Arabidopsis thaliana: one gene and its partner. The protein of the gene in region 2 purifies or fractionates together with the protein of the main gene of each other region. This does not show direct contact. Each region holds a gene or a part of one and is shown on either strand. Other genes may lie near its edges. The genes, in order: ATMND1 and LIG1.

Region 1 (4,839 bases), on a different chromosome or scaffold from region 2:
TACTCCAGCGTTGATGAAAGGTGCATCCCAGGTGTAACTGATACCAGTATCAGTGTCTACATAGTTAATATTAGGGGGTGACCCACAATCTATGCTGATGAAACCTGGACCAGAAGAAGGTAAGGGTTTTGATTAATTCTACAACGTTGAGAAAATTTTCATCAAAATTCCAATGCAGGTTTAAATTTTAGAACCTAAAGCATTCAATCATAGAAACAGACTTGGACCTCACTTATCATGTCAAACCAATAATCAGAACACGGTTTTGGCCAAAATGCAACCACATATATCAAAACTTCAAAAATCTTTGGTCTGAAGATTGCTCATTTTCAAATCAAAACAGACTCTAACAGAGGAAAATAAGCGAGAATGAGACTCACGAACCTGCTTGGCCTTGGCCATGTACTACAATGGCAATGGCAATGACGGAAAAAAGGATGAGAAAAACAGAGTGAGCTCCCATGTTCTTCTTATTTTGTAAAGCTCAGCTCATCATCGTCAGAAAAACAGACAACCTGCGTTTAAGATAACACAAAAACACAAAAGACTAGAAAGTACAAAGTCTATGCCCATTTCCTCTTCTGGTAGCAACAAAATTGACCTGGAGGTGTATAACATAAGTGCTGCTCACGACTGAAAAAAGCGGCCAAGAAAGAATATAAAATGGTAATACAGCTATCAAGAAGTAACCAGTGGGTCAACAACTAACGCATGATATATATATAACTCCAATAAAATATTATAACAAAACATAGCCAAGCTTGGACATAGCCGACAGATACAAAGAAAATAAAAATCTTTTCTGACCACAGAATTTGTAACCGAGTTTTGACATTAGATGATTGGGTCACATAGAGAATTACAGACTGTTGCAACCTTTAAAACCAGAAAACTTAAAAGGATAGTGAAAAGATTTTTTACTTAAGCTATTGTTTCTTTAACTGTTATGCTGGAGAGTATTAGAACTAAGCTTCATCTTGTACTAGCTGCTTTGCGGTATCAGCTTCATGGGATGAGCTCAAAGGGAATGATGATAACTCTATGTAATCAAAGTCCTCAGTGATTCCCGCCTGAAAGTTACCCAGCTGATTTAGTCTCTCCTTCATGTATGAGAATGTGAAATGTGGAATTTATAGCCTTTTGAAGTGAAAAGATCTGGAAGATACCTCCGTGTATAGATGTTCTAGCTGTTCCTTGGCCTGGGGGAAGTTGTTTGAACACCATTGTCGCAGTGTGAAGATGTTATCTGAGTAAGTTTGAAAGAATTATAATCTAGGCTGCAGTGAAAATTACGTAAGTATTAAAACTGAAAACACATTCCCAAGTTTTAGAAATGAAATACCTGTCCATCTGTTAGCCGACTGGTGAGCAACTTCAATTGCATTCCCTGTCAAAATTAGAAGGAATATACACATTGATACAGCTAGTAAAGCACAAGATTGATTCTTATTTCTGCTCCACGAAGACCGGGAAAACCATATAGGAGATCTAACACAAAACAAAAGTAACGTATTATGCAGAACTTAACTCTTTGCCTCCAAAGTAGCTGGATCGTTGTCAGCAAATTGTACCATCTCGTTCTGTTTAAGAAGAAGAAACTGTTAGCAACTTGTTAAGCATGTGAATAGCTCTATGCAAACAGATAGTCTGTATAATCTGACCTTCAGATCTTTGTGTTTCTTTTCAATATCTTTGAGTTGCGTCAAGGCCTCTGTTCGTTCCTCCTGCAGCAAGAACAGCAATTCTGGTGAAAAGCACACGTAAGCTTATTCGAGCATTAATTCTACAATACTGAAAATACTTACCGATTCTTCCCTTCCCTTCTTTAGGGCCTCACACTGATCAACAAGTTCTGCTAACCTTTTGTTACTACCCTGAAGATCAGATTCAAGTTTCTGGCGAACACTCCTAAGCTGTTCATTCAAAATGAGATCAGAAACAATGAATTTCGCTATGCTCAAATTAATATGAATCTTTTTGATGTCATCTCAGGATACAGAACGGTGACTCACTTGATTGCCAGCACAGCTGGGAAGGCTCCAAAAGTAGATCTTCATTTGCAAAATAATGAACACCGTCAAACAACATATAACAGAGACAAGGACTATATGGCAACAAATGAAATAAAAAGATCCAACATAGGAACACTAAGCTACTCACAGAAATTCCAATCTTGTCTTTCGCAACAAGATCATCATCGACTAAACTCTGGATAACATCTTTCACAGACTGACTAATTACACCCTTCTTCGGCCCCATCTTCTCAAGTTCCTTTAGCTGAAATTTTTTTACAAAAGTAGAGACCCATAAGTGCTTGTATCACAAACCCAAAAGTTCAATAGCAACAAATTTAGGCAGTATATGCACTTCACGACTCTAGATATCAGATCACTTGGTAGATAAAGCTAGTTCAAAGGCGTCCAAAAATTAGCAAGTTGTAAAAACTAAAGAAAGTGCTCACTAGGAAGAAGTCTTGAGACTCATAGAATATCTGAAGCATCTTCTCTCGTTTCTCCTCCAGCGAAAGTCCCCGTTTCTTAGACTGAATATCATCAACAATAGAAAGCAGCGATTCAGTTGATACGAGAATGACGAAAAAAAACTTCAGAGCTTCAATGACGAAATCCAACAAATGATCTGTCAACAAATAGTTTCCAGATCGAAAATGTCAAAAATATATACAGTCAACTCAGCGACTACACTGATTGCGAGAATTGGCTGCTAGATAAATGCTAATTCGAGAACCTATCGATTCGCGTCATGCAGTCCAAGTGTTTGCGGAAATTCCTCACACAAATTTGTAATGAACTACGGAAGATAGAAACATTACTACCGATGAACGATAAGTTTAAACAAATTTCTTCGAAGAGTAAGAGAAACACATAACGATGACTACTAAACATTCAAACAAATAGGTCGAATCAATACATCCAAAATTCTCTTGTAAGTCGAAGAATCACAAGCTAAGATCATCAGTGTAAGATAATCACGATTCATAGAATCATAGAGAATAATCACTCGATCTTCCCAGGAAAATGCACAAATCACAGAGGTTCATTAGCGAAACAAAATCACAAGTAGAGAACATTCGTCCAGAGTATATTACCATCGTGATCTCTTGCTCCTGGTGATGCAATCCAAAGGATTTCAAACACTGCTACAGCTCTCTCTCACTCTCTTCCCTCACTATCGTCTCCTCTCTTTATCAAATTCGAAATGAGAGAATTGTAGAAGAAGCCTTGAAAACTTAAGCGGGTTATTATCCCTCGCTTTCTGTTTCATTTTTTATTCCAATTAATTTGAATTTAACCTTAAAACGACACGGAGTCCAATTTTATGGTACCAAAACGGCATGATGTTTGTTAAAGCAGCGAAGTCAACGTATATGGTTGACTATTCATGAGTAGTCTTATCAGGCGAAAGTGATGAACATAGGAGTAAAGTGATTATTAACCAAAGGAAAAAGTGTCATAAAAAGATACAAAAATTACAAAAGATAAATTATGTGAAGAACACTCAAATTGCAGATAACATTAACGACGGGGATTATAAAAGTTTTTCGCTCCGAATTAATCTGATTCAGATCCTTATATACATCGTCTGTTCGTGTCTATCAATGCATACATGTCTCTGCTCGGAGAGGTGAATAACCTGCAGTTAAACCAAGCCAATTGCAAAACTAGTTAAATTACAAATCCATAGTCTGTAAGCAAATTGATTGATTTTGCTTTGATTATAGATAGAAGAGACCTTAGAGGGCCATCTCAGCCTGTAATGCAGCGAGTTCTTCTTCCTCAGCAGTCCGCTTCTGGGGAACAGGACGAGCCGGTTGACGCCCTGCAGGCACTGGAACTGAAGGCAATGGAGGAGCTGTTGTTGCCGGCTGTAGAAGTTGCGATTCAAGCTCTTCACTTTCTAGTTCATCAAGCTCTGCTGCAAGCTCATCCTATCAAAGAGAAGTTTTTCTTAGACAAAAGTCATTATTAGTTGAAAAATATATGATCATTTGGGTACAAGAAAGTTACCTCGTCGAAGTCAGCCGCTGCCCCCATTGGAGTCGCCAATGCTTCTTGGATCTGTTTCATGTTCTCGGTTTGCTCATTGATCTCGTCCATGGTCTTATCCACATCATCAATATTTCTGCAAAATATTGTGTTTTGAGTTAGTCAGGCACTAGAAATGTTAAAGCATTCAAGCACAAGAAAAGCATAAGTATTTTGAATACCAAGCTCGTATTAACGATTCCCAGAACTGATGACGGTTAAAATGGTAGTAAAGAGTAATATGGTGAAAATGTGATGAACACTTACGTTGCTTTCTGCATTGCCTTCATTGCAGAAGCTCCACTCCTCAATGCATCAACAGTTTCGGTTGTTGCTTTTGCACCTTCTAACATAATCATCTGTATGACAAAAAGATATAAGATCCCAATAAATTCATCTAATTACTGCTATATAGTTTATAGTTAACAATCTTAAAACAAACTCACTTGATCATGAATACGGAGCTGGAAATTCCCAAGCTGTTCGACTTGTCCCTCATATAACCTCTTCCTTTTCAAACACTGTATAGCCGCTGCAAAAACCCAATACAGCTTTTAAGTACTCCAGTGATTAGCAACACACATGAGTCATAATAAATAAGAGGTCATACCTCGTTTGTTCTTAGCCCGGGAGTATTCTTTTGCCTTCTCAACCTCTGCACCAGCTTTCTTCAAGAGTACTTTCTCCTTTTTCTCTAGCATCTCAAGCGTCTGCAATGAACAAATCAACAAAATTTGAATATGGTTTAAAAGCAAACGATCATATAAATTGTACTCAGAAATCCCCAATTCAATCG
Region 2 (7,744 bases):
AGACAGCAAAGATAACAACCACCGAAGAAATTAAAGCTTCTATAAGCTAATATGATTGTTCCGTAACCAAAGACCATTTTCATATTTGTTTGCGCAAAGCTTATAACAAAAAAAATTGTCTGATAATGAATCATAAGCCAAGTTAGAGGATAGATAAAGTGGAATACCTGTCGGGATCCATTTGTTCGTCGTCCGATCGAAACACAAACTACGGCGATTTATCGTTTCAAGTAGATTTTCAGTAAAGGCGTTTAAGTTCCAGTCGAGCATATGGGAAACGACGCCCAAGGCCAAAACCTCTGCCTCACCAAGAGGTGTTAAGCCTTTTGAGGTTTTAAGCCTTTTGAGGTTTTAAGCCTTTTGAGGTTTCGTCTTTTTACACTTCGGCCCAAATCCAGTTTAATGAGTTAATTTGTGGACCTATTACAATTACATGTTTATTGGTTTTAAAACCTACGGTTTAGGCCCACCTACTATACAGTATTTAACTATTTATTTATCTTGCTTCGAGTGAGACTACAAACCAGAGGCTCGTCTTCTGCTGACAACTATTAAACTCATAAGCCAATGATGTAGTTACTGTATCTTGCCTCAAGTATCCTGTTTCTACTGTAAACATATTCCACATTTCTGCCAATCATAGATAGCTCAGTGATGTCAATCAGGGCAGTGTTTTTATTCATTCCAGAGTCAGTTGATGAGTGTACCAATTTTTTTCCAGAACCTTTCATTCACTTTTCCTAAAAGCAGTTTTACATAAGCAGTTACAGTTGAAAACTCAAACACGCAATGTGCATCATTAGCAAGTTACGAGCAATGTCGTACATACGAGGAAATGTGCTCTGAGGCCAGATTACTGTTGTTCAATCATCGTCACCTTTGACTTCATTACTTGGATGATTGTGTTTCTGAGCTTGGTACAAATCAGCAATCTGAAAATGTGCAGGGAAAATTGAGAATTAGAAAAAGGAAAAGAGTTTCAAAACCAGTCTGGTCTTGTCTTTCCAGTATTGAAAACATATGAGTGTAATTAGAATGAAACTTCACCTGCTCAGATGATGTTGCTTCCTCGGGCTTCTTGTCTTCCCGTACACGAAGTAGACGAGGAAAACGAAGAGAAATCCCCTTTTAACGAAACAAAATTGAAAACCAATACGTAACAATATATCAGCAGAGATATTCAAACCAAAAAGGAAAAAGAAGAAAATAAGTCGGAGAAAGTTAAACCTTATCAGGATCCACTATGCCAGTAGCTGCACGGTGCACAGGGCTAATTGTTAAGTCAGCTGCTTTCACTTCCCAGACCTTTAAGCAAACATATTTTTTACCTTTCATTTCAACCCATACGATAGAATGGCGAAACTAATAAATATAAGATAACATTTTGAGTACAAGCAAACATAATCCTACCTCAGTGGGCTCAAACCAAACATCTGGATTGAGGCTGTCTCCAACTCGGTAGTATTGCTGGATATTTGAATCATTACAATTAAATAAGAATTCATGCTAGAGACATATATGATAAGGAAGAAGAAAATATCCTACTTTTGGAGTAGCAATCACTTGAGAGCGAAGACTGGACGACCGCTCGTCAAGCATGGCATCAGAAAATCCAGTACCTAGTAGCCCAAACCGTATAACCAAGGTTTAAGAAACTTGAAAAACTGAACACACATACATAATATGAAATACCAAGGTGTATTCATGTATTCGACTGACCAATTTTACAAATGCTCTGGAACTCTTCCTTATCAACATCATAGCAAGCGAGTAAAAATGCACCATAGACACCTAGAAGGAAATCATAAGGCTTTGTTAAGAGCATAGAGAATGAAGAATGTATCATCCAATGTATTTTCGTGGTTTTCACCTGTGCGTTTTCCACGTCCATGGAAAGCAGCAATTGGTACAAGATCCACAGAGTCCCCAATGCTGCACATGTAATCCTATAGTCAGTAAAAAACTGTTCGATTTAAACTTTTTTAAGAAAAATGTTTAAGAGAGTCTTGCCTGTCCATATAGTCTTTCTTCAGTTTTAGCCAATTATTTGATCGCTTTGCAGGCTCATAGGTAGCATCTGAGTCCAATGTTTTAATGATTAAACCTTCGCAGCTGCAAAAGAAAAAAAGAATATATAGATGAACGGGAACATCATAGAGATAAAAGGCATAGGCCTATGTAATAGACATAGGTGTAGAGAAATCACAACATGCGTGGGTCAAATTGCTAAAAATGCAATTTTCATCCTGAAGGCAAATCATGAAAATCGAAACAGCATAGAGATATTGAAGCAGAACTCAATGTCATATCATATATCACTACAGGCATGGTCAAATTGTTAATTTATCATATCCTTAAACATGTAACAGATAATTGGATAACTATCTAAAATAGAATACCCGAAATGAGTAAATATCTACCAGAATCTCTAAATTTATGTGAACTCAGATGAAGGTGAAAGATGGTGCTAAAGAGAAGATGCTAGGCAACAATCAGTACGAGTATGATCAAATTGCTAAATTATCATACCCTTGAACATATAAAGATAACTCTCTAAAATAAAAAATACCTGAAAGCAGTAAATATCTACCAAAATCTCTAACTAATATGCTACTAAAGAGAAAGTGATATGCAACAATTTACACCAAAGTTTACTGCACTTTTTAGAGATACAGAGAAGTGTCAAGAGATATACCCAACATCAACAGAAGCGTCAAGAAACTTTTGTATTTCATCGATATCGTTAGATGTTACAGCAGTTGCAAACTGGAAATACCCAGGATCTTCCTCAAATGATTCGTATAGCTTCTGCTAGAAGCAAGGTGAACACAAATGATTACATATTTGCACAACAAGAACTTGACTGCAACCAAAGAAAAACAAAATATTATAATGATATACAGATATTGCTCACCTCTCGGCGAATTTTAAGATTCTCCTGGATAAGTTGTTGGCCATTTAGATATAACATGTCAAAAGCAAAGATGCATACGCCAACCTTGATATCATTGACATTCACATTTTTACGGGCTCGAGTGCTCAAAATCTGGAAAAAGAAAAGAAAAAAAAAGAGAGAGAAAAAAGACATCAAGTCAAATAGTTTGAAATAGCTAACTTCAACTAATGTAAATTAATCCAATAACAGGAGCTTTATAACAATTGATATATATTAACAATCCTCTTCACACCAACACTAAACATAAGCAAAAATTAGGTGAATCACCAAAACTGTCTGAGTGCCATTAAAGATCCATAAGTGTAACAAGGTTTATTCAGTAACGTTGGCAAAATTAAAGGTTAGACAGTGTCCAAAACCCGAAAATCTGGTCTAAAAGAGCATTACAGCTATGCTTATTTCTTAATTCACTGGCTAACAAGATGGAAACTCTAACACATTTAACATTTCTCTGGCATTTCTATAAAATAACATACCGTAAATGAATAGACAAAATATAAGGCTGCAACCATACTTTAATATCAGAACGCTATTCACTTATGAGTTACCTGGAACGGAAGAATTTTCTTTTTCTCCCTGTCGAAAGCAACAACTTCACAATCCAGAATAAAAGATTTCACAGAAGGCTTCTTTAATCTGCATTGAGATGTTTCACTAACTTCAGTAGAAAGATTGAATCTCTAATGTTTTCAACCAGTTACACCAGATGTTTACCTTGATAACGCAAGAGCAACATCCGGGTACTTCCCAGTGTTTCTTTCAGCATTTCGACTGTATATCTCAAATGTACCATCCTCCATAAAATGTATCTGCAGAAATTGATTGATGATAAGCCATACCATATTTAAATAACTCATATCTAAGAATAGCATTCATCCTAATTCAGTAGACACCAAATATCACCTGTGCACGTTCCCCATCATATTTGTATTCACATGTGAAAACGATGTCCTGGAATTTATTCAGTATCTCAGCTACACCTTTGGTTGGTTTTGCAAGCATGGGTCCAATTGGAACACCCAATGTAAAGTTACAAGTTTTTGGAAGATTCCACACACCGCCACTTAGAAGAGCAGGAACAATAATGTCATAGACAGGAAGTACAGTGAATACTTGTTTAACAATCTTTGCAGCCTACAAGAACAGAGCAGAATGATGGATCCAGGAAAGAAGTGTAATGGCATAAGATTACAGAAATGCATAGAAGGTAAATTGTGACGTCTCTCAAAGAATACTACATAGAGATCCTACAGCAACACAACATCCTTAGAGTAGCTCAGAAAATATATTTTTACTCACAAAACTCGGAAAGAAGGATTCTGATATATAAGTGGGAGATACAAAAACAAAAAGAGATAGCAGACCTCTTCTAAAGGAGACTTGGTATTTGGGGGTGGCTTTGAGTGCTCTTCATTATATACAGCGGCTTGTCCCAATGCGGCTAAGACAGTCTGACCTGAGAACCCTAACCGCAATTTTGCCTGCAAGGTAAATTAAGAAGGGCGAAATAAGGAACCCAAACGGATAAGCAGAAAAATAGTGGCGGTTGATGCATACCTGAAGTAATCGTGTTAAGTAAAGAGGTTCACAGTCTGTTGTCGCCACAAGAAGTGCCTTCATTCGATTCTTCTTCTTTTCATTACTATCTTTTCCACTTTCCTGTAATAGTTAACATGCAATAGTCCCACTCATCTTCTATGCAGTCAGACAAAAAGACGGTTGACTGAATCTCAATTGAAAGCATAAACAAAATTTCAAGCATTCAAAAGCCACAAGGTTATAAATACCTTAGCAATTTGTCGAAACGTATCGAAAACCTTGACAACAGTCAATGGTTCGGGCTTGAACATCATAGTCTGAGTCGAACGGCTTCCTTTTGCTACAAGTCCCAAGTCTCCCAGTTCCTATAAATCAAGTTCAATTTCAGAACTGCTAATTTTCTTATTCAAAAACCTTATAGCAATTCCACACCAGACAAGCTCATTGAATTACAAGGCAACAAAAGTTTTAAAAAGTCAACATACCGTATTCTGCTTCTTAACATGATCCTCAGTTCTACCAAAAGCCTCAGAGATAGCCTTGATAATTGTACTCTCACCAATTCCCAATTCTACACCTTCATGAGCCGGGGCAATCTCATTCGCCGAAAGATAAACAGTAGCGACCAAATCCTCAGGAGTAGTGGCAATAACAGTTCTCAACATGTTACACAGAATATCAGTAATCACAATCCGGCCACTTTCATTTGAGATCAGATCAAAAGCCAATGCGACAAACAGAAACGGAACTCTCTCCCCTTTCTCCCAGCAAGACATTTTTTCAGGATCGAAATCATTCGGCTTCTTCTTCAGCAATCCAATTTTGCTCTTCATTTCGTCTGTCTTGCTCAAAGTCTTAGCCTTTTTCGCTCCCGTCTTTGAATCCTCCGCAATTGACGATGTATCCGATCTGGGATTTGCAGAATCAGAAACAGGCTCCAGCAGATCCTCCGTTTTTGGAAGTGTACCTTCGGAAACAATAGTTTTGCCCAAATTAGCATCTTGGGTTTCTCCAATTTTCCTTTTGTTCGGCGAGCGAGACAAATTAGTTGTCTGGGGAGTCTTCTTCTTGGCGGCTGCACGAGCATTGGACATGAGAGCATCAAATGCAGAAGGGCGGGAAGAAGACATGGCTCTATGGCACGAGCTAAGACGCAAGTGGGAAATTTGGCGGCTAAAAGAGATTAACACGGAGGAGAATTGAGAGATTTGGGTTTTAGTACAGAGAGAAGGTATGCATCGGAGGTAATTCGACGATCGAATCGCTAACATCAGTCGATTTTGAAATTAGGGTTTTAGAAAGGACAGGTGTTGCAAGTTTGCAACCTTGAAGAAAGGTGATAATATATTGGCGGCAGAATTTCTCACCCGCCACTCTCTCCTTTATGTTGGGCCAAATTAGGACCACCTGAAGAAGCGGGCTAAGATATCTTAAGATGGTTCGGATTTGCCGAAAGAATACGATTTTTTATCCAGAGTTTCTACCTGTAATTACTAATTAGGGTTAGTCCAAATCTTTAATAGATCCCAATGATCAAATTTTATTTTTTTGAAAACTTCAAATTTGGACAAAATTGTGATGATTATTTCAAAGGTTATTGTAAATATAATATTTTATAAATTACATCAAATGCTATCACTAATGGATACTCATACACTAAACTGTGCCCTAGTTTTAAATTTTTGTTATTGGGCCTTTTTATTTTATGTGGGTCTATGATATGGAAAAAATATCGTTATAGCCCAATAGACAGTATAATGTCAGCCCAAACGTGACGCGTATGGTTATCGAACTGTGAAATCTAAGTATCTTACTCATTCGCACAATGAGCGCGTAGACGCCACCTATCCGAAATCCATGCGAAATTGCTGTTTTCCGTAAAATTAAAAAATTAAGCGCGTGAAGGGCTGTTTACGAGTTCCTCAACTTTTAATCTTTATCTTGTTTAATTGGCCAATTAGGATACAAATCTTAGTGTAGAATTAAAATAAAACACATATTTCAATAATTTAGTGGTTGCACATGCACCCTGTATTTCTTCACTAAATCCGCCTGTTAATTTGTGGGATCGATGATTTACCTTCTCATCACCTAGTATATGTATTTCTCCCCTATACATGAATGATGAACATGTGTTTTGTAGTCCTTACAACACAAAAAAATCTATTGTGTGCTTCCTATAAGATCCGTTACACTTTGTTTGTAAAGGATCTTAATTTCAATAAGGAAAATAAACCAAGATTGAAGCTAACTCAATTTCAGGATAAATGCTTCTCACTCTTGTTGTTGGACGACTAACACGGAGGCTCTAGAAGGAAAATATTCAGATGCTAACAAATCTCCAATGACTCCAAGTTCTTCGAATTCCATCCAATCCCCGAGTCCTCTGGTGACTGTAGTACCAACCCCACTTCTTCGACCGACTATGAATAGATCATAGTCGTAAGACACGGAGTGCAAAATTTTGGATGTCTCTGTGCCATCTCCCACCGTCCAGTCAATGATGGTTGACTTATCTCCAGGCCTTTGGTCTTCATGACGGTTCATGTCTACCATTTGGCTATGAATCCTCAAGCTACTCTCATCGGCATAAGACGTAGGGATCAGACGCAAGACCGTTAGAATCACTTGTTGGTTACCTCTCATGTGGTCAGCTAATGCCAGGGCCTCTTTGTCGTCATTCCCACCCACGTAAATCAAGCACACCTGCATTTAATGTATGAAAATAAAAAATATTCAACATCATTTAGAATAAACAAAAAAAAACAAAAAAAAAAGAATGTAGTTACTTACACGGCACGGAGATTCTAGGGCTTTGGTTTGCCAAATTGGTTTGCGATAAACAAAGATTCCGACAGAACAAGGGGCGCGTTTCAGAACATTAAGATTAAGACTTCTTAGGGTTTGATCGTCTGAGATAATGACATTTCCGTTAGGCTCCCAAGTGCGGTGAAACGAGAGGAGAATAAGATTGGAACCTTGACTAAGAGCAAACCAACATATTTGTTCATGCATCTCTTTAGCGGAAGTTAAAGACGTGAACATGTTTATGGAAGCGGAGTCCCAATAAACCTCTTGAAACAGTTGGAAAGAGCTTATGACATTTTCGGAATAAGACCGACTTCCAGGCTTTGGTTTTTGAAGCTGGTGGGAGATAAACGTGGGAGTAGCTTGACCCAATAACTCTATTAGGTGAAGAACACAACATTCCATTGGAGAGTCTTTAGATGGGGAAGTTGCTCTAAGAAG

The links.
Region 1: the proteins of LIG1 (region 2) and ATMND1 fractionate together in Arabidopsis thaliana (co-fractionation; one large-scale study listed by BioGRID). This does not show direct contact.

Annotation. Positions count from the first base shown.
Region 1 is NC_003075.7:14,381,255-14,386,093, reverse strand, and holds ATMND1 (Mnd1 family protein), read right to left. Parts: upstream 3,259-4,839; 5' UTR 3,110-3,258; coding exon 3,107-3,109; intron 2,638-3,106; exon of another isoform or gene 2,543-2,637; coding exon 2,462-2,542; intron 2,278-2,461; coding exon 2,161-2,277; intron 2,052-2,160; coding exon 2,013-2,051; intron 1,914-2,012; coding exon 1,806-1,913; intron 1,725-1,805; coding exon 1,662-1,724; intron 1,581-1,661; coding exon 1,529-1,580; coding exon of another isoform or gene 1,524-1,528; exon of another isoform or gene 1,388-1,523; coding exon 1,343-1,387; intron 1,247-1,342; coding exon 1,167-1,246; intron 1,071-1,166; coding exon 966-1,070; 3' UTR 629-965; downstream 1-628. Other genes in the region: RHS16 (root hair specific 16), read right to left, coding at 1-104, 385-463; SNF7.1 (SNF7 family protein), read right to left, coding at 3,752-3,946, 4,026-4,140, 4,311-4,402, 4,490-4,575, 4,654-4,753. UniProt on the Arabidopsis thaliana protein: Required for proper homologous chromosome pairing and efficient cross-over and intragenic recombination during meiosis.
Region 2 is NC_003070.9:2,542,050-2,549,793, forward strand, and holds LIG1 (DNA ligase 1), read right to left. Parts: upstream 5,898-7,744; 5' UTR 5,767-5,897; coding exon 4,981-5,766; intron 4,861-4,980; coding exon 4,744-4,860; intron 4,616-4,743; coding exon 4,514-4,615; intron 4,438-4,513; coding exon 4,321-4,437; intron 4,091-4,320; coding exon 3,860-4,090; intron 3,766-3,859; coding exon 3,671-3,765; intron 3,593-3,670; coding exon 3,505-3,592; intron 3,047-3,504; coding exon 2,915-3,046; intron 2,809-2,914; coding exon 2,696-2,808; intron 2,113-2,695; coding exon 2,011-2,112; intron 1,933-2,010; coding exon 1,871-1,932; intron 1,792-1,870; coding exon 1,720-1,791; intron 1,620-1,719; coding exon 1,546-1,619; intron 1,468-1,545; coding exon 1,411-1,467; intron 1,306-1,410; coding exon 1,228-1,305; intron 1,126-1,227; coding exon 1,048-1,125; intron 933-1,047; coding exon 864-932; 3' UTR 614-863; downstream 1-613. Other genes in the region: AT1G08125 (S-adenosyl-L-methionine-dependent methyltransferases superfamily protein), read right to left, coding at 75-83; CHX6B (cation/H+ exchanger 6B), read right to left, coding at 6,770-7,201, 7,289-7,744. UniProt on the Arabidopsis thaliana protein: Essential protein. DNA ligase that seals nicks in double-stranded DNA during DNA replication, DNA recombination and DNA repair. Involved in repair of both single strand breaks (SSBs) and double strand breaks (DSBs).